4 linked regions of the Arabidopsis thaliana genome follow. The protein of the gene in region 1 binds, or shares a complex with, the protein of each later gene. Each region holds a gene or a part of one and is shown in the gene's direction. Other genes may lie near its edges. The genes, in order: PnsB5, PnsL1, PnsB1 and PnsL4.

What was found.
Region 2: PnsB5 (region 1) and PnsL1 share a complex: the UniProt entries of both Arabidopsis thaliana proteins name them as parts of the chloroplast NDH complex.
Region 3: PnsB5 (region 1) and PnsB1 share a complex: the UniProt entries of both Arabidopsis thaliana proteins name them as parts of the chloroplast NDH complex.
Region 4: PnsB5 (region 1) and PnsL4 share a complex: the UniProt entries of both Arabidopsis thaliana proteins name them as parts of the chloroplast NDH complex.

What each region holds. Positions count from the first base shown.
Region 1 is NC_003076.8:17,578,668-17,583,732, reverse strand, and holds PnsB5 (NAD(P)H dehydrogenase 18), read left to right. Parts: upstream 1-2,457; 5' UTR 2,458-2,587; coding exon 2,588-2,809; intron 2,810-2,884; coding exon 2,885-2,948; intron 2,949-3,054; coding exon 3,055-3,117; intron 3,118-3,196; coding exon 3,197-3,255; intron 3,256-3,402; coding exon 3,403-3,633; 3' UTR 3,634-3,866; downstream 3,867-5,065. Other genes in the region: AT5G43755 (non-LTR retrolelement reverse transcriptase-like protein), read left to right, coding at 1-6, 173-406, 506-756. UniProt on the Arabidopsis thaliana protein: NDH shuttles electrons from NAD(P)H:plastoquinone, via FMN and iron-sulfur (Fe-S) centers, to quinones in the photosynthetic chain and possibly in a chloroplast respiratory chain.
Region 2 is NC_003071.7:16,473,114-16,478,787, forward strand, and holds PnsL1 (PsbP-like protein 2), read left to right. Parts: upstream 1-3,084; 5' UTR 3,085-3,221; coding exon 3,222-3,281; intron 3,282-3,363; coding exon 3,364-3,445; intron 3,446-3,530; coding exon 3,531-3,635; intron 3,636-3,728; coding exon 3,729-3,802; intron 3,803-3,888; coding exon 3,889-4,011; intron 4,012-4,098; coding exon 4,099-4,170; intron 4,171-4,254; coding exon 4,255-4,351; intron 4,352-4,436; coding exon 4,437-4,540; 3' UTR 4,541-4,730; downstream 4,731-5,674. Other genes in the region: MTP11 (Cation efflux family protein), read right to left, coding at 2-111, 457-622; RPL23AA (ribosomal protein L23AA), read left to right, coding at 1,936-1,951, 2,255-2,618, 2,707-2,791; ABCB6 (P-glycoprotein 6), read right to left, coding at 5,136-5,674. UniProt on the Arabidopsis thaliana protein: NDH shuttles electrons from NAD(P)H:plastoquinone, via FMN and iron-sulfur (Fe-S) centers, to quinones in the photosynthetic chain and possibly in a chloroplast respiratory chain.
Region 3 is NC_003070.9:5,486,568-5,492,454, forward strand, and holds PnsB1 (NDH-dependent cyclic electron flow 1), read left to right. Parts: upstream 1-2,577; 5' UTR 2,578-2,746; coding exon 2,747-3,171; intron 3,172-3,269; coding exon 3,270-3,420; intron 3,421-3,507; coding exon 3,508-3,698; intron 3,699-3,770; coding exon 3,771-4,028; intron 4,029-4,107; coding exon 4,108-4,213; intron 4,214-4,299; coding exon 4,300-4,385; intron 4,386-4,463; coding exon 4,464-4,632; 3' UTR 4,633-4,736; downstream 4,737-5,887. Other genes in the region: AT1G15970 (DNA glycosylase superfamily protein), read right to left, coding at 1-288, 392-533, 648-731, 819-876, 1,465-1,927; CNGC7 (cyclic nucleotide gated channel 7), read right to left, coding at 4,737-5,456, 5,526-5,874. UniProt on the Arabidopsis thaliana protein: NDH shuttles electrons from NAD(P)H:plastoquinone, via FMN and iron-sulfur (Fe-S) centers, to quinones in the photosynthetic chain and possibly in a chloroplast respiratory chain.
Region 4 is NC_003075.7:18,424,693-18,430,292, reverse strand, and holds PnsL4 (FK506-binding protein 16-2), read left to right. Parts: upstream 1-1,714; 5' UTR 1,715-1,967; coding exon 1,968-2,315; intron 2,316-2,401; coding exon 2,402-2,494; intron 2,495-2,673; coding exon 2,674-2,734; intron 2,735-2,810; coding exon 2,811-2,879; intron 2,880-2,961; coding exon 2,962-3,044; 3' UTR 3,045-3,536; downstream 3,537-5,600. Other genes in the region: AT4G39720 (VQ motif-containing protein), read left to right, coding at 1-263, 940-978, 1,097-1,113; AT4G39700 (Heavy metal transport/detoxification superfamily protein), read right to left, coding at 5,387-5,600. UniProt on the Arabidopsis thaliana protein: NDH shuttles electrons from NAD(P)H:plastoquinone, via FMN and iron-sulfur (Fe-S) centers, to quinones in the photosynthetic chain and possibly in a chloroplast respiratory chain.

The sequences.
Region 1 (5,065 bases):
CCCCAGGTGCATTATGAAACAAAAATTAAAGAGATTTATGAATTTCATAAAAATGCAGGACAACATACAATGCAAGGGCAGCTACCTATCTCGATCCTTTGGAGAATATGGAAAAGCCGTAATAAGCTAGTGTTCCAACGAAAACAGAACGATTGGTGGAGAGATATCAGAGATGCTACAAATGAAGCGGAAGAATGGATCACAAATGGCTTATGTGCGCAAGTTCCCACTCCGAGTACGACTAATGGCACAACTAGGCAGTTTCAGAGTCAGTGGCAAAAACCACATATGGGATGGATTAAGTGTAATTACGATGGCAGCTTTGTGAATCGAGTTCGTGGCTCTACGGCAGCTTGGATAATTAGAGATGATAACGGCGTGTTCAAAGGGGCTGCTCAAGCGACAGGTGCGACCGTTTCCTCAGCCTTTGAAGCAGAATGTCAAAGCCTAATTCTTACCATGCAACAATTATGGATAAGAGGCTTTAGAAAAGTAATACTTGAAGGCGACTGCAAGCTCCTAGTCAATGTTCTGAATGGAAGAGGCTCAAGATTTGATGCTATCAATTGGATCCATGAAATCAAAGTTTGGAGAAATAAGTTTGACGCAATCAAGTTCACGTGGTCACACAGATCAACAAATCAACCTGCTGATATTTTAGCGAAAAACCAGAAACATGCTCTGTCTTCATACATAGTTCATAGCTTTATCCCATTGTGTATCTCAAATGCTCTGTTTTCAGACTACGTTTCCTAAGTAATAAAAATGAAGTTCGTGTTAAAAAAAAAAAAAAAAAAATGATGCCATTAACTCATATCATAAGTTCATAACCCAAAACTAAACTATCGTTTCATGTGTACTAACTACTTGTGAGATTTTCACAAGTCAATAACATGCGTGTGAATCTTTAACGCGTGCGTGATAAGTTTTGTATTTATATCATCATTTGGTATGTGTCAACACACAATTTGGGGAGAGTTTGTGTGGTAAGTAATGCAAAAATATATGTTTGTTATATAACATAGAACTGATTCTAATTGCTAAGAAAATTCCTACCAAACGAAGCAATTACGTTCAACAATTATTCTTAGAAGTTTGAAGAAACCATTCTCTACCACTCCACAATTCTTTCTTCTTCATTGGTTTTACAAATTCTACCTTTTCAAGTCATTCTTAAATCTTAAATAAACAAAACCAGTTTGAATTTTTTTTCGTAGTTGGTAGAAAAGTGTGTTCCAAAATGAGTTCTTTAGAAAAAAAATATTTCCAAAATGAATTATGATTTTTAATCTCTCTGCACCTTTAGTTATATCGGTAAGATATCTCAAATTCTTCAAGCAAATTATGGTACATATTTTCTATAGATAATATTGAAGAAAAAAGGAGCTTAACTAGTGTTGATTTCAACTATCGGAATCAAATATATATTTGCATTTCATTAGACACTAAACCTTTCAACAAAAAAATAATAATAATTCAATAAACACTACATGTGTAAGTGCATGTCACATGGATTACAAATCATTAAGCTAATATCTTCGATGAATTAAGAAGATAAGTGGATAACAAGTACCTAACCGCAATAGTCCATAAATTAAAACATTAATGTATTTGTCGTTGAAAATTTGGCCGACTTTTATTTGTTATTCTAGTTTCCACATCAAAAATGTTTGTACTTCGTAGCAATCCATCCACCTAAACCCCAAATCTTAATTTATATTTGTTGCGTTTAAATTTGGGTGAGATTTGATTCTAAGTAGTTGAGATAAATTGATATTCTATTCATTAGTAAAATGATAGAGAAATTGGTTTATAATAATTTTACCCTAGAACATGACATGATATTGGTAACCATTAATCAAAGAAAGAGCAAAGCATTTAATTTACCCTACTCTCCAACCACTCCAGCCTTTATTAGTTGCAGTTGGGAATCATTTCTTTATGATTCTTATGTCATTGTCTCCTAAATCAATGAAGTGCCTTGACCTTGTTACTAATTCGAACATAGCAAAGCCAACTACATAGATCCTTTACAAAGTTCTAAAAACAGGTTGTTTAGGCGTCTAGACAAACAAAACCATTTTGTACGATTCAACAAATTGGTCCATAGAATGTTATTGATCTTTCTTGTTTAGGCATTCGATAAATCGGCTAATACATTATTTTTTTGTTTTGCTTTTTCCTTATTAAAAATATGCAAAGTATTATGATGTTTAACCTGAACTGAATTTTACATTTAACTGGATATAGGAAAATATTGGGTTGAATTTAATAATTAAGCAATTGTCACGTAAATCAAATTGGGCTTAATATATATTGTTGATTTCAGCAAAGACAAAGTTGGGCCGTTTCAATAGTCTTCACGCGATGTAAGCGTTCACTAACCAACTAGAGAAGACAATCAAATGAATACGTTCCACGTGACGCTTACGAACTTGTCAGTCACTTTGGTAATATGACAGACAGTAACCAGTAAACTACTAATCTCTTTCGCTAACGAACACACAAAAAAAAAAAGAACCGTTTTTTCTTTCTATGGCTCCAAAACTCTGAGACAGAGCAAGAAAAAGATAAAGTGAGTGAAAAAATGGCAACGGTCACGATTCTCTCACCCAAATCGATTCCAAAGGTCACTGATTCCAAATTCGGAGCTAGGGTTTCTGATCAGATCGTCAATGTCGTAAAATGCGGCAAATCCGGCCGGAGATTGAAGTTAGCGAAGCTGGTCTCAGCGGCTGGATTGTCACAGATCGAACCAGACATCAACGAAGACCCGATTGGTCAATTCGAGACTAATAGCATTGAAATGGTAAAGATTCAATTGATTTTAAATTCATAATTCTGCTGAAAGTTGTTTCTGATTGGTTAGCGCTTTTGTTAATAGGAAGATTTCAAGTATGGATATTACGATGGAGCTCATACTTACTATGAAGGAGAAGTTCAAAAGGGTATAATTTTGGTTTCTCCTATTGATTCTTGTCGCTGTTTCGATTTTAGAGCTATAATATTTCTTTGTTTGATTGATTGATTAGTCTTCTTGGAAATGTTTCTTAGGAACATTTTGGGGAGCAATTGCTGATGACATTGCTGCTGTGGATCAAACTAATGGGTTTCAAGGTATGAATTTAACCCGCTTTTTAGTGCTTTTTATGTACCGCAGATTGATTGAAAACTCGCGGTTTTTTTATGTCTGCAGGTTTGATCTCTTGTATGTTTCTTCCTGCTATAGCTCTTGGGATGTATTTTGATGCTCCGGTAACTTCAAAATCTTTTGCTTGCTTCCAAAATTTATCATTACTAGTTTTATCGCTTTTGTTTTGTGGAGGACGTACAAGAGATTAGATAATTAAGCCAAGTATGAGAAGAAAAAGAATCACCAGTGTTTGTGTGTGTGTGTTGCAGGGTGAGTACTTGTTCATAGGTGCAGCGTTATTCACGGTAGTGTTCTGTATAATAGAGATGGATAAACCTGACCAGCCACACAACTTCGAGCCTCAGATATACAAATTGGAGAGAGGAGCTCGTGACAAGCTCATTAATGACTACAACACAATGAGCATTTGGGACTTTAATGACAAATATGGTGATGTATGGGATTTCACCATTGAGAAAGATGATATCGCCACACGATAAGATAATGGATTGTGATCTCGTTATAATCATGACTTTTGATGTAAACTGTTTTATAAAATTGATGAATGAACGGGGTACAATGTGTATAATATTGATTGTTCATTCTCTTATTTTTCTTTAGTACCATAAAACCTAGATTCTCATCTTGTAGTGTTAGGTTTCTGTTCTTCACTATATGTTTTTTTAAGATCTAAGTACCTCGTATGGACCCAACGAGTTTCCATACCCATCATTAGTTCATACAATGGTGGATAAACCATACAATTTGAGGTTGACGTATGCCACACGCTAACTTCATCCCCTGGTCCAAACACAACAATATAGTGTTCCAGTATTGTGGAAGAGTCCGAGGAGCTAAACACACCTTCGAGTTCTATCGAGTTGGAACATCAAGTGACAAACCAGCTCCACTCCTAATCCCTAGTCTCTCTACAAGAAAATGCTTTAACGTATCTCTGACACTTTCTTTAATATTGTGCAAACTATTCGTAAGTTCCATACCAGTTTTTACTATGATACTAGATGAGTACCCACGCTACGCGTGGGTTTGTTTTGAAAATTGTTAAAAAATATTTAGATTGATTGTTAGTTTTGCTAATTTATGTTTATTTTTGTATTGTTAATGAAATTAGATCCATATTATTTACAATTTTTATGGTTAGATTCATTTGTAACTCGAAATATCAATTTCTAATTTTCATGTATAAAGCTATTTATAAGATGTTAATATTTGTTCACTATCAAAAATACATATAACAACAATATATGATATTTTGATACAATTATGTGTAACCATGTTACTTGTGTGGTTTAAAATTTATCTTACTCGATTATAAATAAATCAATTCTTTGTTTTATGTACTTCAACAACATTGTGATAAGCTCATGATTAAAGTTTTGATTGACTTCAACTGAACAAGATCTGAAGAGTATTCGTATGAAAAAGGGGTATGAAGAAAATAAAAAGATAGCAAAAACTAAATGTCATTTAAGTCAACACTTTTAGATCTTCTGTCATTGCATATATCAATATTAGAAAAATGATCGTGTTTTGCATGATTTGAAAATTGTCTAACTTGATTATAAATAAACTATTTTTGGTTTATGTATTCCCTGATATAATACTCCAACAACATTGTTATAGGCTCATGATTAAATATATAGAATTAATATAAATTGAACAAGATTTCAAGAGTATTCATATGAAAAAATAAAAAGAAAGCAAAAATGAAAGTATCATTTAAGTCAATACTTTTAGATCTTCTGTCATTGCATATATCCATATAAGAGAAATGATCGCGTATTAAATTATTTGGTAGGTCTTATAGAGTAGTGATTATTGCTATAAAAAAAATTTAGTCATTATAGAGTAGTGATTATTGCTAAAAAAATATAAATAAAAAGAATATAATGAAAGTAGTGCTTAATTTAT
Region 2 (5,674 bases), on another chromosome or scaffold:
CCTTTGACATTCCAGGAACAAAGCCACGTTCTGCAAGTTCATCCATTTCAGTAAAGCCCTCAAGCATCTCTACTTGCTGCTGGTAATAATCTGCCACATTGTCTTCCGGACCTGAAAACACCAAGACACATAGCTTCACAAAATCATATTTGATCTCTTCACAAAATCATATTTGATCACAAAATCATATTTGTTGACATTACTTCCACATCCAAAAGAAAGATTAGAGACAAAAATCAAGGATCGGGATTAATGAACTCTAGACTAATCAATACCAAGATTCAACTAAATCTCAACTTCATAACAAGAGTAAAAATATATCTTTGAAGAATCAAAAATGCTAAAGATAGCAAACAAAAGAGGCCGAATTCAAATGTTATCAGCTGCTGCTAAAGATTGAAACTGAAGAAGACGATAAGAAAATGGAAATGCGGAGAGGAGGAGCAAATTGTTTACCCAAACAACCAAGACAGTTGTGTAGTTTACTCGGAGATTTCTTCTCCTTGTGTTCCGGTGAAACCTGGAAATCATCGAAATTTAACTGCCAGGAACGGTCACCGTTACCGTGAAACTCGAGCAGCGAGATCCCTTCGTCGGAATCTGGACTAGCTGGCTCAACCATTTTTCCGGCGGCGGAGAGAGACTTTGTATTTTTTTTTTTTTTTTTTTGAGAGAGAGAGAGAGTGGTAAGGAAATGGGAAATTTGAAGAGACGGCGAGGGTAAAATCGGTAATTAAGAAAGATTGAGGCTAGCTACTACGACTGTTGTGGTAGTAAGACATTCCTCCACAGAGATACTTGGACCAGCCTTTAGAAGAGACGTCTCTGCTAATTATCCACGTGGCGTTCTCTCAATGGATTTGGGATCTCGCACGTGATTGGAGGAGTCATCATACACACGTGTACAGTTGAGATTCAACTGCAATTAAACGACCCCGTGACATGACATGGTTATGAGTCACATATGTGCCCTCTCAAACTCTATTATGTAGTATAAAAACTGTATTAGATACAACCGACCCAAGATATAGAAGAACCTTTGAAAAATGGTAGAAGCCAGTTCAGCTAAAGCTTTCTTCTTCACAATTATCGTAAAATATTAGACATGTAGAGCAGGCTTGTTGTTCTCTTATTGTCAAGCGTAAGTAAATGATTATTGTTTAGTTTCGTGACCAATTGGTTTGTTTTTTGGTTAGCCATTGTTCGATTTGCTTTGGTTTGGTCAAAGATTGTATGCTTTCAAGTCAAACCAAAGCTGACTAAATTTTATTCTGTAATAATTTACTTTGGAATGGCAAAACCAAAGAAAGGTCATAGACACAAGAGAAGAAGCAAATATGTTTCTTACGCCAAAAGACACGTTTGTATGGTAAGACAAAAGACACGTTTGTATGTTTCTTACGCCAATACCATTACGTTAAAAATAAACTAGTAACTTAAATTTACGCTCACTTTCTATTTGGGTTTTACATGATGATTTTGGTCAAAGGCCTATTTACAATGTTGCAAGCCCATATTATCTTTTAAGTATCTTTTTGTGCAACCAAAAGAATCAGTGATCTTATGCTCATTTTCATTTTTTTCTAATGAAATTTTTCGTCACTTATGGCTTATGCGTCCGATGGACGATTATGGTAAAAGGCCCATTTATTCAATCCAAAGCTTACTGGGTTAGATGATGATTGTGGTAAAAAGGCCCATTATAGACCCAACTAAGTATCTTAGGGTTTCAGTTTCCACTATAAAACTTGTTGCGGCGTAAGTTAGGGTTTTGAGAATCAGCGGCTTCACCTCTCCAGGTTCGTGTCTCGATTTTGCAAACTATCTCTCGAAATCGTCCTACATTTCTTTCTTCAGATTCATTACTGAGCTTCGCTTTCTGGGTTTCTATCTAAAAATTTCACAGATTTCGTGTGTGAAGAATCATTTCAAGCCATGTCTCCGGCTAAAGGTACGATCTTTTCATTGATAACCACTTGAATCTTCACTGGAACATGATGGATTTGGATCTTCTTCTACTAGACTTTAGTTTTGCTGAACCCGCTAGTATCTGGTCTCGATTAATGTTTTCTAATCATGTTTCGTTAGGTGATTAGTTTCAATATCTTCCTGATTAGCTTCAACTAAGTGAGATTAATGTAGTATCCAAATGAATTTTGTCTGTAGACGTGTTTCTGAGTATTCATGTATTGAAGTCAGATTTGTATCAAAGTATTATATGATGCTTAAACTCTCTGTTGTATGTAATTTGCAGTTGATACTACCAAGAAGGCTGATCCTAAGGCCAAGGCCTTGAAGGCGGCAAAGGCTGTGAAGTCTGGTCAAGCCTTCAAGAAGAAGGACAAAAAGATTAGGACCAAGGTCACCTTCCACAGGCCAAAGACTCTTACCAAGCCTAGAACTGGTAAGTACCCAAAAATCAGCGCTACTCCAAGGAACAAGTTGGATCACTACCAAATCCTTAAGTACCCACTCACCACTGAATCTGCGATGAAGAAGATTGAAGACAACAACACTCTTGTTTTCATTGTTGACATTCGTGCTGACAAGAAGAAGATTAAGGATGCTGTTAAGAAGATGTATGACATCCAGACCAAGAAAGTGAACACACTCATCAGGTACTTTAAAGAGTATTTTTCTATGAAGCCTTGTTGTGAGATTGATTATGTTCAATATATTTGACACTATGGTTTGGTTTTGTTACAGGCCTGATGGAACCAAGAAGGCTTACGTGAGGCTTACACCAGACTATGATGCTTTGGATGTTGCTAACAAGATCGGCATCATCTAAGTCTATCTATCTCTGCAGTTATAAAGACTATTGTGGTTTTGTCTCTTGTAGTCTCAGTTTTGCTTTTAAGATATTTATTATTACTATCATCTGGTAATTGTAGTATTTTGGAGCAAAAACGTTTTACAATACATTCATGTTGCAGTTTATTGTTGAATTCAAGTTCTATGTTTTTGACTTATCAAGATTCTCTTTTTAAAACTCACTAACTTATAAACTGTAAACATACAAATGCAGTATCTTCTCTAACCAGTAAATGATCATAAATCGATCTATCACCACATATTGTTTGCATCTTTCATTATCCTTTTATCCACATGTTGATGAATGGAGAAGTCCGAGAAATGACGAAAATCAGAAATTTCTTATCCACATAGAACACTAAGGCAATGTTCATTGATCATCAAAAGTCTTGTGAATTGTAGCCACTATGGCAGTCTCCTCACTCTCAATCCGCTGTGGTGGTTTCTCACCAACAATCTCCCACAAGGTTAATAACACTGTTCTGATTCCAGTCTCCATTTCTGAAAACTAAAAATCATTATTGTTCATTGATTCATATTTCTTACCAGACAGAAATTCTCTGTCCAAATCCATCACTCAAAGCTTGTTGTTTACTTTCATCCGGTGGTAAGGCCGACTCCTCGGAGAGTAGTAAGAAACTAAACTCTTGTGACATTTTCCTTCTCATACGTAATACATTGACTTGTGTGGATTGATTTTTATTAAAATTCAATAGCTTACCAAAAAGGCAGCGGAAACAATTGGAAGAGAAGGCAAGCTCTTGTGGGAGTAGGAACTTTAGTGGCAACTTCAATTCCAGCAACTTTGCTTCTTGCTGAAGGTAATCTGCAAAACTAAGGGTTTTGTTTTTGCCTCTCTTCTTCATTCTTTTGGGACCAAAAGCCTAATATGTTGATTCATATCATGTTTGCAGAGATACCAAAAAGCTACTCGCCTTTTGTGGATCGAGAAGACGGGTATTCTTACTATTACCCATCAGACTGGAGGGTGGGTAATGGCTTTGTTTCCATTTTTGTTGAAAGAATGAAACATAAATGAATTGAGAATATCTCTGTTCTGCCCTTACTACGTAGGAATTTGACTTCAGGGCACATGATTCAGCCTTCAAAGATAGATACTTGCAACTGCAGAATGTGCGGGTCAGGTTCATACCAACGGAGAAAAACGACATCCATGAAGTAGGTCCTATGGAAGAGGTATGTATTACACACCTTACTTTCCCTCTACCATCTATGTCATTAGAGAATTCACATTGGTTCATCATTCTTATATATGTTCATCAGGTGGTTTATGATCTAGTGAAGCATAAGTTTGCAGCACCAAACCAAGTAGCTACCATCTACGATATGAAAGAGGTCAGATGATTGTTAACATCTTAAAGAATCATCAAAGTTGTTGAGAGATTGGATCTTTATAAACAATAAGAGATGAAAATGCAGAGGGTGGAAGATGGAAAGAACTATTACACGTTTGAGTATGGACTAAGAACTCCTATCTATGCAACCACTTCCTTTGCAACAGTGGCAGTTGGAAACAGTAAGCACAGATTATAAGAATTATGAGATAGATGAGAGAAGAAATTGAGGAATAAACAAGTGTTATGACTGATTTGATGTTGCAGACAGATACTACACTCTCATAGTTGGAGCAAATGAGAGAAGGTGGAGGAAAGTGAAAAAGCAGCTTCAAGTTGTGGCCGACTCTTTGAAGATCCTTCAGATTTGACAAACACAAGAAACATCTTACTCCTATATATCTTTCTCTCTCTGTGGTTACAAAACTGTCTGTAGATAACAATTTGATATTTTCATATTCTCTATAACTCCAACGATGGTTTTGGCATTGTGAGTTAGATTCTGAGTTGGTTCAGTAATTCAATCAAACTTGCAAATAAAGTGGAAATAATGTATTTACAAAACAGACATATTTCTTCCTAGCCATTACACACTTCTCCACCTAAATCACTCACAACAACAAAAAAGCAAACCTCAGCAAATAAAATTGCCTCTAATCTTCAGTTTCAATAAACAAATCGATATACCTTAAGAGACCAATCAATGAATAAATAACACAGTCCTACTTCATTGCTTAGCCTCCTGAAAGAATAAGGGAATCTAACGTCTACAAACTCCTAAGTTGCTTACAGAAACTAACCGTGGTTGTACAACTTCTGCTCATCTGCTGTCATCCCGGACCCGATAAGCCTTTGATCAGATGCATGTCCTGTAACTACATCCAATAACGTTATCTCGTGGCATATCACATGATGGTTGGTATGTGACTGAACTAATCTCAATTAGGCACATGAGTCCAATCTCTTTTAGATCAGTTGATGTCGCCGTAGATTCTTGCCAAAATGTGGTTGCATTAAACGGACATACAATCCGTTTTTACCCGCTAAACAATCATGCGTACCTTCCTCTACTATTTTGCCTCCATTGAGAACCACAATGTTATCCACATGTCTCATCATCGCTACTCTATGCGCTATCAGAATTGTTGTTTTGTTCCCCATTATCAATGTATCAAGAGCTTCCTGCACAACACGGCTCGACTCGGATTCGATAGATGAACTCGCTTCGTCAATCAACAGTATTGGAGCATTCTTCAGCACTACCCGAGCTATAGCGATTCTCTGTTTTTGTCCTTGGGTAAGCTCAACACCTCTCATCCCGATATGTGTGTCGTATCCGTGAGGTAAGCTGCTGATGAAATGGTGGGCATTTGCAATCCTTGCTGCTTCCTTCATCTCAGCTTCACTTGCATTGTGCCTTGCGTATATAATGTTTTCTCTGATCGTTGTGGAAAAGATTATGGGTTCCTGTTGAATCAGACCCATATGGCTTCTTAACCATCTCA
Region 3 (5,887 bases), on another chromosome or scaffold:
CTTCTTCTTCGCCTTCGTTGTTGTTGTTGTCTCTGCATCTACGCAACAGTCTTGGTATCTGAAGCAGCCTATGAGATGATCATTCGTGAGTCCAGCTGCTTGCATGAAGGAGTAAATAACTGTTGGACTAACGCTGCGAAAGCCTCTGCGTACAAGATCTTTGCTTATAAACTCAGCTTTCGATGTCTTCACAGGGACTTGGCGCTGATACCTGAATTGGCTCTGTGTAGGCTTGTTGTTCACAAAGTTCCACATGTACTTCTTCAATGATCCACATTCAGCTATAATCTGGATGAAGTTAAGAATTAACAGGCAGACAGATTATAATATTTAGACAAGTTCTAAGTTTTCAGTAATTATGATCAGTAAGTGTGAGCTTATGTTCTGTTACCTTGCGCACATGGCGTGAGTTATCGAGGATTGATCGTATCTTGACCTCTGATAGTAAGGAAATGGCAGCAGTACCTGGCGCTGTTAACTTTTTGTCATTCAATTCAGCTACAGCGACTGGATCGAAGTCCATAAAAACTTCCCTGTTTCAAATAAGAAGCAAATTAGGCAATCAGAGATCAGAGCTACTGGCTTAGCATCAGAAGTTTATATTGCGAATTCAAAATTCATATTACTAAAGAACTTGGTTTGGTTACCTGAGTATATGTCTTCTGGAGAGAATGTCGGTCCATGAGAGTTCGGCTAGAGCACCAGAGAGGCATAATAACTCAAAAAGCTTCCTACACAAGTTAACCAAGCGGTAAGAGACTCTTATAACTACAAAGTGTATCTCAGATAGAAGGAAAATAGTTGAGGATGCCACATACTTGTCGTCATGTACAGGAACTCCCCATTCTTCGTCATGGAAAGCAACATAGCACGGGTCTTTACAACGTAGAAAAACGCAACATTATTAGTCAATTTACAGCAGAGAAAGATATGAAGCATGAGAGAACAACAAAGAATAATGGAAAGTGCCTCTTGGCATGGAAACATTTATGCTCATTAGTATAGAGAATCCAGAAAACGCTGTTTGGCTTACACTAAAAGCATAAACGAAGTGGATCTATCAGCTAATCAAAACATCCTTCATCTAAATTTCATGGACACTGAGAAGTTAAAATATTTATAAGAGAACTTCAGGACAAGCTACTTCATAAGTTATGCAACATAGCAAATGATCTACACAATGCTCACTGAATAAAATACATAGCAATTGAAACATTTTGTTGGCCATTGAATTACTTAATATTCACATACAGAAGAACATAATTAGATCAAACAAAAAACACTAGCTCCTTGTCTCAATTCAGTCCCATTTGATTCAACTAGATAAGAACTTTATCATCTCACACAATCAGGCTAAACTCAATCTCACATTCACATTTTCACTCATTTCATTTATTTGAATGCATCTAAAGTCAAAAGCTCTCTCACTATGCAATGTGTGATAGGTGAAAGTTTGATGCTTACCAGCTTTAGGTGTGATCCAAGCACACCTTTTACGACCATCAGCGAAGCAATCACCAGAAACCTTCTCTTCTTCTTTCCCAACACTCAGCTTCCTTGTAGAAGAGACAGACCCACTTCGCCTCACAACCTTCTTACAGCTCGAAGAAGACGCCACGCTCAAAGGCGATGACTCACACGAAGACGAAGCATCAGAGGAATACGAAGCAGTCATTGAAGCACTATTCTTTCTCAAAATCGAAGAGCAAAGAGACGAGCATTGCTTCAGAGTCGTCCTTGGTGAAGCCGGAGTAGTTGGTTTCTTCGCTTTCTCATCTTTTGAGTCGATGATGGTCTTCTCCATCATCGGCTTCTCCAGTTTCATCCCCGGTGGTTTCCTCTGCAGCTTGTTCCCGGTAGGACCAAGAACTGATCGGAACTCTCGCTCATCGGAATTTACGGACCGGAATCTAGGAGGAACCGACATTGACCCGATTCTCACAAAAAACTGCTTTTTGATTTCACAGATCTATCACTGGATCACACAACAACAACAAAATTGCTATTTCCAACAGTCTCGAAACTTATTTCAAGAGATTATATATCGGAAGGCCTAGACTTTACAGCTACATTAGCACCAAAAATGAAACTTTTTTGTCACCGCTAAATATCTCATTTTTAGGAATCTTCTAGTAAAACTAAACCAAGTTGCTTGCTGTGTTCACGAGAAAAGCAAGGTTAGAAACAATGAGCAACAAAATAAAATCTTTGAACAATGAAGAAAAAAAAAGCTTTTGACTTCAGAAAAACCCAGAAAAAAAAAAGAAAGAAAGAAGCTTTTTCTGATCGACGACGAAACGAATCAAATCGAGAGAGAGAGACGAGGAGAAAAGGTCATTCACCAGTCACGACTTAACACGTCATCGTTTGGTTCTTCTGCTTTTTCTGTTCTTTTGTTCCTCGACCCGACAATGAAACGGGTCCTTATTGCTCGACCCGACAAGTTAAATGGTTTAATTGCTTACTGTAATCAGTTGGTTAATGCTTCTGAGTTCTGAGATTAGGAATGTTTCTTTGCTCGTGCGTATCAACCAATGTAAAGACAAAAGTTTTAATTAATCGAACAGAGAATAATTTCTGGAATTGCCATAACCAAAATAAATAAATTAAATGCTAAGTTTTCTTCTATGGTCGGAAAATTGCCACAAAAGGGACCCACTTATCCTAAGTTCCTACAGAGATCTGTTTTCTTTCACAACATTTAAAAATCCAAACTTTTCTTTCTTTGGCTCAAAAAAACCTTCCAATGGCTTCTTCACTTCCTCTGTTACCCAAACCCATTTCCCCATTCTTTAAAACGCCGCCGTTTTCTACCTCCAAACCACTCGTCTTCCTCAACTTTCAAACTCGTCTTACGTCGAGATCTTCCGATGTATCGGTCAATCTCAAGAAGAAGAATAATCCGTGGCTCGACCCGTTTGATAGCGGTGAAGACCCGGATAACGAATACGGGTCCTTGTTTGCCGACGGAAAACAAGACGAGGATCCAAGACCACCGGATAATCCTGATAACCCTTACGGCTTCTTGAAGTTTCCAAAGGGTTACACCGTCGAGCTTGCTTCTTTACCGTTGAAAATCAGAGGAGATGTTAGACGATGTTGCTGCGTTATCTCCGGTGGCGTTTACGAGAATCTACTCTTTTTCCCGACTATTCAGCTAATCAAAGACAGGTAATAAAAGTATAAGACTCTGTCTCCGATTCGACATTTTTTTAAAACCTTAAACTGAAATGCAGAACATTGTCCGTACGTTTCTGTTGTTTTGTAAGGTATCCTGGTGTTCAGGTAGATATATTAACGACTGAAAGAGGAAAACAAACATACGAGCTAAACAAAAACGTGAGATGGGCCAATGTGTATGATCCGGATGATCATTGGCCTGAACCAGCTGAATACACAGACATGATCGGACTCCTCAAAGTTTGTAACTTTCAAATATTTCAACGTTTTTTCTATCTTTCCTTTATCAGACTGCTTAGTTAACTTTTCTTTTAAGTCATGTTTCAGGGAAGGTACTATGACATGGTTCTGTCCACGAAGCTAGCAGGGTTAGGCCACGCAGCGTTCTTGTTCATGACAACGGCTCGAGACAGGGTTAGTTACATTTACCCGAATGTTAACTCTGCAGGAGCTGGTCTGATGCTGTCCGAGACCTTTACAGCAGAAAATACCAACCTTTCAGAATTAGGTTATAGCATGTGAGTTCCTTGAAACCGAAGAAACTGCAGGTTTTTTTATCGCCTGTCTAAATTGACTGTTGATGGTTTCAGGTATACTCAGATGGAAGATTGGTTAGGAAGACCGTTTAGGAGTGTTCCAAGGACTCCTCTGTTGCCACTTAGGGTATCGATTTCACGGAAAGTGAAAGAGGTTGTGGCTGCAAAGTATAGGAATGCTGGAGCAGTGACGGGGAAGTTTATAGTGATTCATGGTATTGAATCAGATTCTAAGGCATCAATGCAATCAAAAGGAGATGCTGATAGTTTACTTTCACTTGAAAAATGGGCTAAGATTATAAAGGGTGTAAGGTAATTATTACACACCTTCAAAATGTGAATTTTTTGCTTAGTTTGAAATTCTCTGAGATATGATTGTGAACAATGCCAGGGGATTCAAGCCGGTCTTTGTGATTCCACATGAGAAAGAAAGAGAAAACGTTGAAGATTTTGTGGGTGATGATACATCTATAGTGTTCATCACAACACCAGGACAGGTATGCATGCTTATCTGTCTGTATTTGTTATGAACAAAGTTGAATTCACTGATCTTACTTTGATTCCTTTTCTTGAGCTTACTTAGTTGGCTGCTCTGATAAACGATTCTGCTGGAGTCATCGCAACAAACACAGCTGCGATTCAACTAGCTAATGCGCGAGACAAACCATGGTGAATACCTGAGTAATATAAAGAGTACTGATTCAATGTTTTCAAGAACTAACATGTGTGTGCTTCTTTTTCTTCCAGTATTGGGTTGTTCTCTTCAGAAGAGAAAGGGAAGCTCTTTGTACCGTATGCAGAAGAGAAGAGTAACTGTGTAATTATTGCTTCGAAGACTGGAAAACTAGCAGATATCGACATTGGAACTGTTAAAAATGCAATGCAGGTCTTTGAAGGATCATTGGCTCTCGTGTAGATAACTTTACAGTTTCTGAAACAAGTTCTATATATAGAGCATTTATGTGTATAAATCAGTTATGTAGTCTCTGTTCTGATGTTGGCCTCTCATCAAGAATTGGATTATTCAGCATCAAAATCAGGTTCCGGAGGCTTTTGCAGATTTATCAAGGTCTTTGAACTCTCTGAGCTCCTAAGTCTGTGCCCTTTCAATGCATTAGCAGCAAATCTTGATGCAAATATCGTTGAACGCAGTCTAGAAGAAGACTCACTTCTTGTGATAACCATAGGCCTCTTGTCACTCTCATCATCATATTCATCTTCATAACCCAATTCTTCTTCTTTTTCTTCAATCCGTCTCAATTCAGCGTTTTTCCTTCTTGAATAGCGACGCCAAGCAGCTTGGATGAAGCAAGAAGCCCAAGTTCTCCATTGCTGAGAGTAAAACCTAAATGTTTGTTGAACCTGTCGACTATGAAGTCTCCTAAACTGACTTGCTACAAACTTCAGCTCTTCAGCTTCAAGAGCGAAAGCCTCTACTTCAGTCAGAGCCTTCACTGTTCTTGTGGAAGAAGGTAAGTTTGAGCCTGCTTTAGGGTCAAGAGCCCATGTCAGAAGCTCTTCACCACAAAAGTCTCCTTCTTTTAACAACCCTCTGTTGAAGAAACCGCTTCTTCCCCCATCTGTTGTTACACTTTCTAACCGGCCTCGGATTATGAACATCATTTCGTTAACGGGGTCTCCTTCACGCACAATGTAAGTGCTTTCCGTGAAAAGACTCGGCTTTAATCTCTCACAGATTGCGTCAAGTAATCTTTCATCCATATTAGCAAACAGAGGAACCTGTAGAAACAGAACACATAGTTAGTTAGTATCTCAAGCAATTTTAGCATTCTGATTGTGAAAACTTACCCTCCTAACTAAATTCAGACAGAGATGGCGTTTGATGTCTCTTCTGAGATCCTTAGGTAAACTCTGAACTATGTTTTCTTCGTCTACACCTCTTGTCTCTAACCATTTGTATTGATCATAGCGTCTGACTCTTTCCCTCAAATTTTGTGGAAGTGACCTGTGATGCATCCACTGTTCTGAGTCACGTCTTTTGATCCTCATTTCCTCGAGACGAACAGTAAGTGACTGAAGATAAGTCTGCATATTCCCGATGAGAAGCGCGAAAAGAAGAAGCCCAGCTATAGCAATCGCAATGGAAAACAAAACCTCTCCTGGAAATGTACTTGTCTGCAGCCCTTGACCTAACGTGCTGTTCATGAAAA
Region 4 (5,600 bases), on another chromosome or scaffold:
CACTCCAGCGACTCCTCTCTTATCCGGATCACAAATTCAGCAATATCAAAACCCTAACAACGGTTTCGAGGATATGAATCTGCAAGCTCTTCTTCAAGCTCATATTTCAAACCCTAGAAGCAATGAGCACGATCAGTTTGGTCTTGGTATGATGCAGACTCCATCTACTAATCCTCCTACTACAACGGCAGCGGCTAACGGGAACATAAACACCGGTGATAATGGAAGCTACGGTGGCTCCGATCATGAACATAATAATGACGGTACTTGGTTATCTTCGTCTTCCGACCAGAGAACATAAATATATTTATGTATAGTCCAAGTCCGAAATCAAAGCTAATCTCTTGACATGATTACTCAACAAATTAAACATAGCACATATAGCATGATGAAGTTACTCGTTTATATATTCTATATTTCAGTATAAACCACTTTAAAACTTTTTTCGTGTAGGGTTTGTTAATTATTTAATACTTAATTAATATGCTTGTTATTTGTTAATCTTAGTTTTTTCCATAACTATATGTTGGTAAGTATTAGTTAGTAGATGGATCTCACCATTTGAATCAGATTTTCTTGGTATATTTTCTTATAATTATATAGAACTTTTAAATTTTAATGACAACGATGACTTGCGATATGAAATTTTAATTTTTCAACAATCAATATACAGTACGTGGTTTTGGGATCACTACGGTTAATATTTCTCCTAATTAATATTGGAGTGAATGGTGGCGAAATTTGGGGAATCTTCCACGGCCGCCGGATTGTGGAATATGGTTTTGGGACCATAGTATATAATTATTAATTAATTATAGACTTGTGGTGATTTGAAATTTGATAAATTACTGTTCTCCCATGTGCTTATTCATTTTTGGTGTATCATCTACATTAACGTCAATTTTTATTGACTTGACTCTCATTTTACCATACCAACAGATTTGAAATTTGAAAATTTCCCAAGCAAAAGAAAAACAGGTAATCAATAATGATAATTATACATACATTTTGGTTTTGACCTACTTTTGTCATATGACAATTTATCTTTATAGACACTTTTACTTCTATTATTATAAGTCTCTTTGTTTGTGAATAGGGGCAAATTTCATTTGACCGCCTCCGACAACCATTGACCTTGTCACGGCTCTGAATGTGATGCGTCTACAAAATTCCTAACTTTTTTCAGTCTTCTCATTAACCAATCAATCGTTAGAATATTCAGCTTAATTTATATCTCTTTCTAGTCTCTAGCTTAACAACACTTCAGAATGAAATGTCAGTTCTTTGTAAGCGGGGTTTTCAATAATATCATTTGCTACTGTATAGTATAATAGTAACTCTTAAAAATAATAATTCTTGTTTTTCACAATAAGATTTGATGATGGATTGATGGTCGCAAAACAAATAATGACATTTGATGAAAAATCTTTTGCTTGTTCTTGTGTATACAAAAGTTCAAATGATTTTGATATTTTTTTGTCCACGGACCAGTTACACTTAAGTCACCAATGCACTGTATAACCTATACACATCACTTACATAAACTATCAACAATGTGCATATATGTGTATCTCTATCTAAATGGAATATATAATAATGGGTGATGATGATGGTTTAATATTATGGTGGTGGTTATGGTGGACCATGATATCAAGCTATTGTCGCACTGATGGGTTTTCTATGTATTCAGATGATACTCGGTTTCATAGTTGAGTGATAACTAGGTCTGGCCATTATCTTACTATCCAAATAATTCGATTCGGGTTCTCAATTTTGTGGGCCGATTGGCTCCAAAAGTTTCATTATTATTTTTGTTCTGTTGAAAATAGAAATCCAAAAAAATACGGGTGGGTCCCATAATCATATCCATTGTACCGTTGCACACTCAAAAGACAAAAGATTCAGACCAAAGGCTCTGGCTTCACGCAGATAAGGAAGCAGAGATCGAAACGAAGACTCAAAGAAGAATGGCGATTTCTACTTTAACACTCACACAATCTCTCTATACACGTTCCTTCAGACCAACCATCTTCTTTTCTTCTTCTTCTTCCTCGTCCTTTTCGTGTCTCTGTTCTTCTTCCTCCGATTGCGAGCCGAAACTCTCCGTCAAGAAACGCGTTTTCGGAGTGGGTTTAGGGTTCCTAGCTTCTTCGATTCTCTCTCTAACGCCTCTGGACGCAGACGCCACGAGGATTGACTACTACGCCACTGTAGGAGATCCTCTCTGCGAATACAGCTACGCAAAATCAGGACTTGGATTTTGCGATCTCGATGTTGGATTTGGTGATGAAGCCCCTCGTGGCGTACTCGTCAATGTAATCTCTCCATCTCTCTAATTTCCTCTGTTTAGGGTTTTTGATTCAAAGTTTGAGACTTTGGAGAGTTGGTCACACACACACAGATCCATTACACGGCGAGGTTTGCAGATGGAACGTTGTTTGACAGTAGCTATAAGCGTGCAAGACCACTTACTATGCGAATTGGAGTCGGCAAGGTACAACAAAGAACCATTGTCTCTCTCTCTCTTTGTTAGCTTCCATAGTCTTCAATTGCATTGCTAGCAAAGTTCACACTTGTCTTTGTTGAAGTTAGTTAGTTTCTTATGTTCTTCTTTGTGATTAGGGTGAGCAAAACAACTATATATCTAAACTCTTGATGTCCAAAAATGATCAGGTAATTAGGGGACTAGACCAGGGGATTCTTGGAGGCGAAGGAGTACCTCCTATGCGAGTAGGCAAGTGTACTGTATTTTCCTTTGTTCAATGTCCTTTATTTGGCTGATAACATATTGGTGCGGTTTTATTTTGCAGGCGGAAAGCGTAAACTTCAGATTCCACCTAAGTTAGCTTATGGACCAGAGCCTGCAGGATGCTTTTCTGGTACTTGCACAATTCCTCTGTAACAGTTTCACTTGTATATGTAAGATATGTATCTCGAGTAATAAATCGACTCTTTATGCAGGTGACTGCAACATACCTGGCAATGCAACTTTGCTCTATGATATCAACTTTGTTGAGATCTACCCAGGAAGTAATACAAGATGAAGCCAACTCCAATCCCGTTTGGTAAAGGAACAAACAACTATGTATGTGATGTATATCACCAGGTGATTACTTTTGACAAGCTTCAGATTATAATTTCTGTAACCTAAAACATTGATGATTTCCAACTGAATCCAATGTCTAACCTCCTATTAAAGAACAAGACACATCTTCTCTGTGCAGATCTGTCTTTTTGTTAAGTTATGACCTTGGAAAATCATATACTTGCATAAATGTATAAGCGCGTGTTAGGTTAGATTCAGTCTTGGTAAGTGATGCAGCTTGTGTCACAAAGATGTACAGAGTCTAGAATAAAGTTGTGTGATGTGGTTTTTCATCGGTGTCATATCTCTGTAATTGGTCCCCTCACAACAACTCATGAATCTTAAGGCCAAAAAAAGTGTAAAACTTTGGTTCTTGCCTACTTGAGCATGTTGAAAATACATAAGACAAATCTTCATTTTTCGATTTTCCAGGAAAAACACAGTGCATGAGCTAATTTACAGCGTACCGGAGGTTCTTAAAGGCTGATGTTAGGCCATCCTCAATGGAGGGTTCTAAGATAAATGAGGTTTTTAAAGAAATCATATATATGAAAGTTGGCCAACTCTCTCCATATGGGTGACACATCATCACATAAGAAAATATCATGTGTCATTTAATATTGATTAAATTAAAATTAGCAAAATTAATTGAGAGAAAATAAAAAATCTCATATTGTGTTAAATCCTCCATTAATTCATTTCTTAAATGATTTTTTCAAAATATAAATATAAATAAAATTACTTATTTAAATAAATCAATTACTACTTTTATTTTACTTTTATTATTTTTTATTTTTAAAAATTTTAATGGTCAATGGTCATCACTCTATAATGACTAAATAGTTGTTTATGTTGTAGTTTATTTGTTTGCTACCTAATATTAGTGTAGTTATTTTACCTTGATTTTTTAATTATTATTACGTTATGGTTCATATCTTATCATATGAAATTCTGTATTTTTATTTTTGTATCTTTAGGTAAGTTCGTAACATTGACATTCAATATTTTTAAGTAATAGACTTTTGAGACGTTAAACATACCACAAAATTCAAAACAAATCCATTTGTCTTATACGGCTATATGCAATAGTATAAAATCTAAAAAGTGTTACTAAAATAACTCTTTAATTTTTGCTTCTTTTTTTTCATACGAAAACTCTTGAAATCAAAATATCTTATATTCTTATTGTGTGTATTCATGATAATGAACAAATTTTAGAATTTTGGATATAAAAATAATCAGATTATACATGAAAATATATAAAAATTGATATTTAGAGTCAAAAATGAATCTAACAATAAAAATGTAAGTACATAAGATGAGTCTAATTTTACTAAGTATAAAATAACAAACAAAAAGTAAACATAAATTAGCGACAAAAATAATTAACATATTTTTATCTAAAGAATTTTTAAAACAAACCCACGCGTAGCGTGGGAATTCATCTAGTAATATAAAAATAAAAACATGGAAAGAAGAAGAGAAAAAATGAAGAGGAGCTCTTAGATAAGAGAATGAAGAGAGGTTTTTAATAATCAAGTAAACCACCTAAGCCACATGTCACTTATACATTGGTTCATTTTTTTCTTAAACTTAAAATTTATTTATATAATAATATTATAATAAAATAATCATTGTTATTGTTGTTAAGAGGTTTTTAATAAGAGCTTATTGTTGAGGATGCTCTTACTTTGTTTACACCTGAAGACTGAAGAGCAAGAATCATATCAGTAAAAATTGTTGAATAAGTCCTTTAAAATATAGTATGGTGGGGGTAGTTGTATGTATAGAAAGATTACATGACCCGTGTATGTTATGATACACAGTTTTTTTAAGCTTTATGTGATCGATCTTTACTATCCATTTTTGGATTTTTCTTTTAATAATGTATGTAAAAGAGAAAGAGAGTGGGTGAAAAGAGTTAGAATATTGGGGTCCCAAAAAACTAAACTCAAATTAAAAGACCATGAAACACCTTAACCAAAAACAAACGTCTTTGTTATTGTTTTGTAAGTTTGAAACTAGCATAGAAAAAATTAACTAGTTTCCACTTATATCTTCCAATGATAGTAAACAATGATTACTTACGATATCCAATTGATTAAGCTAATATAATACTAGATCTATATTAATATTAATAAAACATTCACTTGTAACACCAACAAAGAGCACATGCAAAAGAAGACAAAACCATGAACTAAAAGAGAACAAACACCAAAATTTATAACCCACATTTATGCATATATTACCGGCATATATTATATAAATTCCTTTATAAATTATCTAATAAATAAAAAAAAACTACATAATAGAGCAAGCATTAGGATTATCATCACTAAACAAAGAAGTATAAGAAGGGTCATCGTAGTAAACAGCCATCGTCCCGGTGGTGACGTTTGGGTCAACTTTTCTGACGTAACCAGGCGGTGCTTTCTTATCATAAGCCTGAGCTATGTACGGCTGAGCCACCAAGTTGTACGGTACGTACGGCCATATCTCGGCTTTCTTCCCCGTC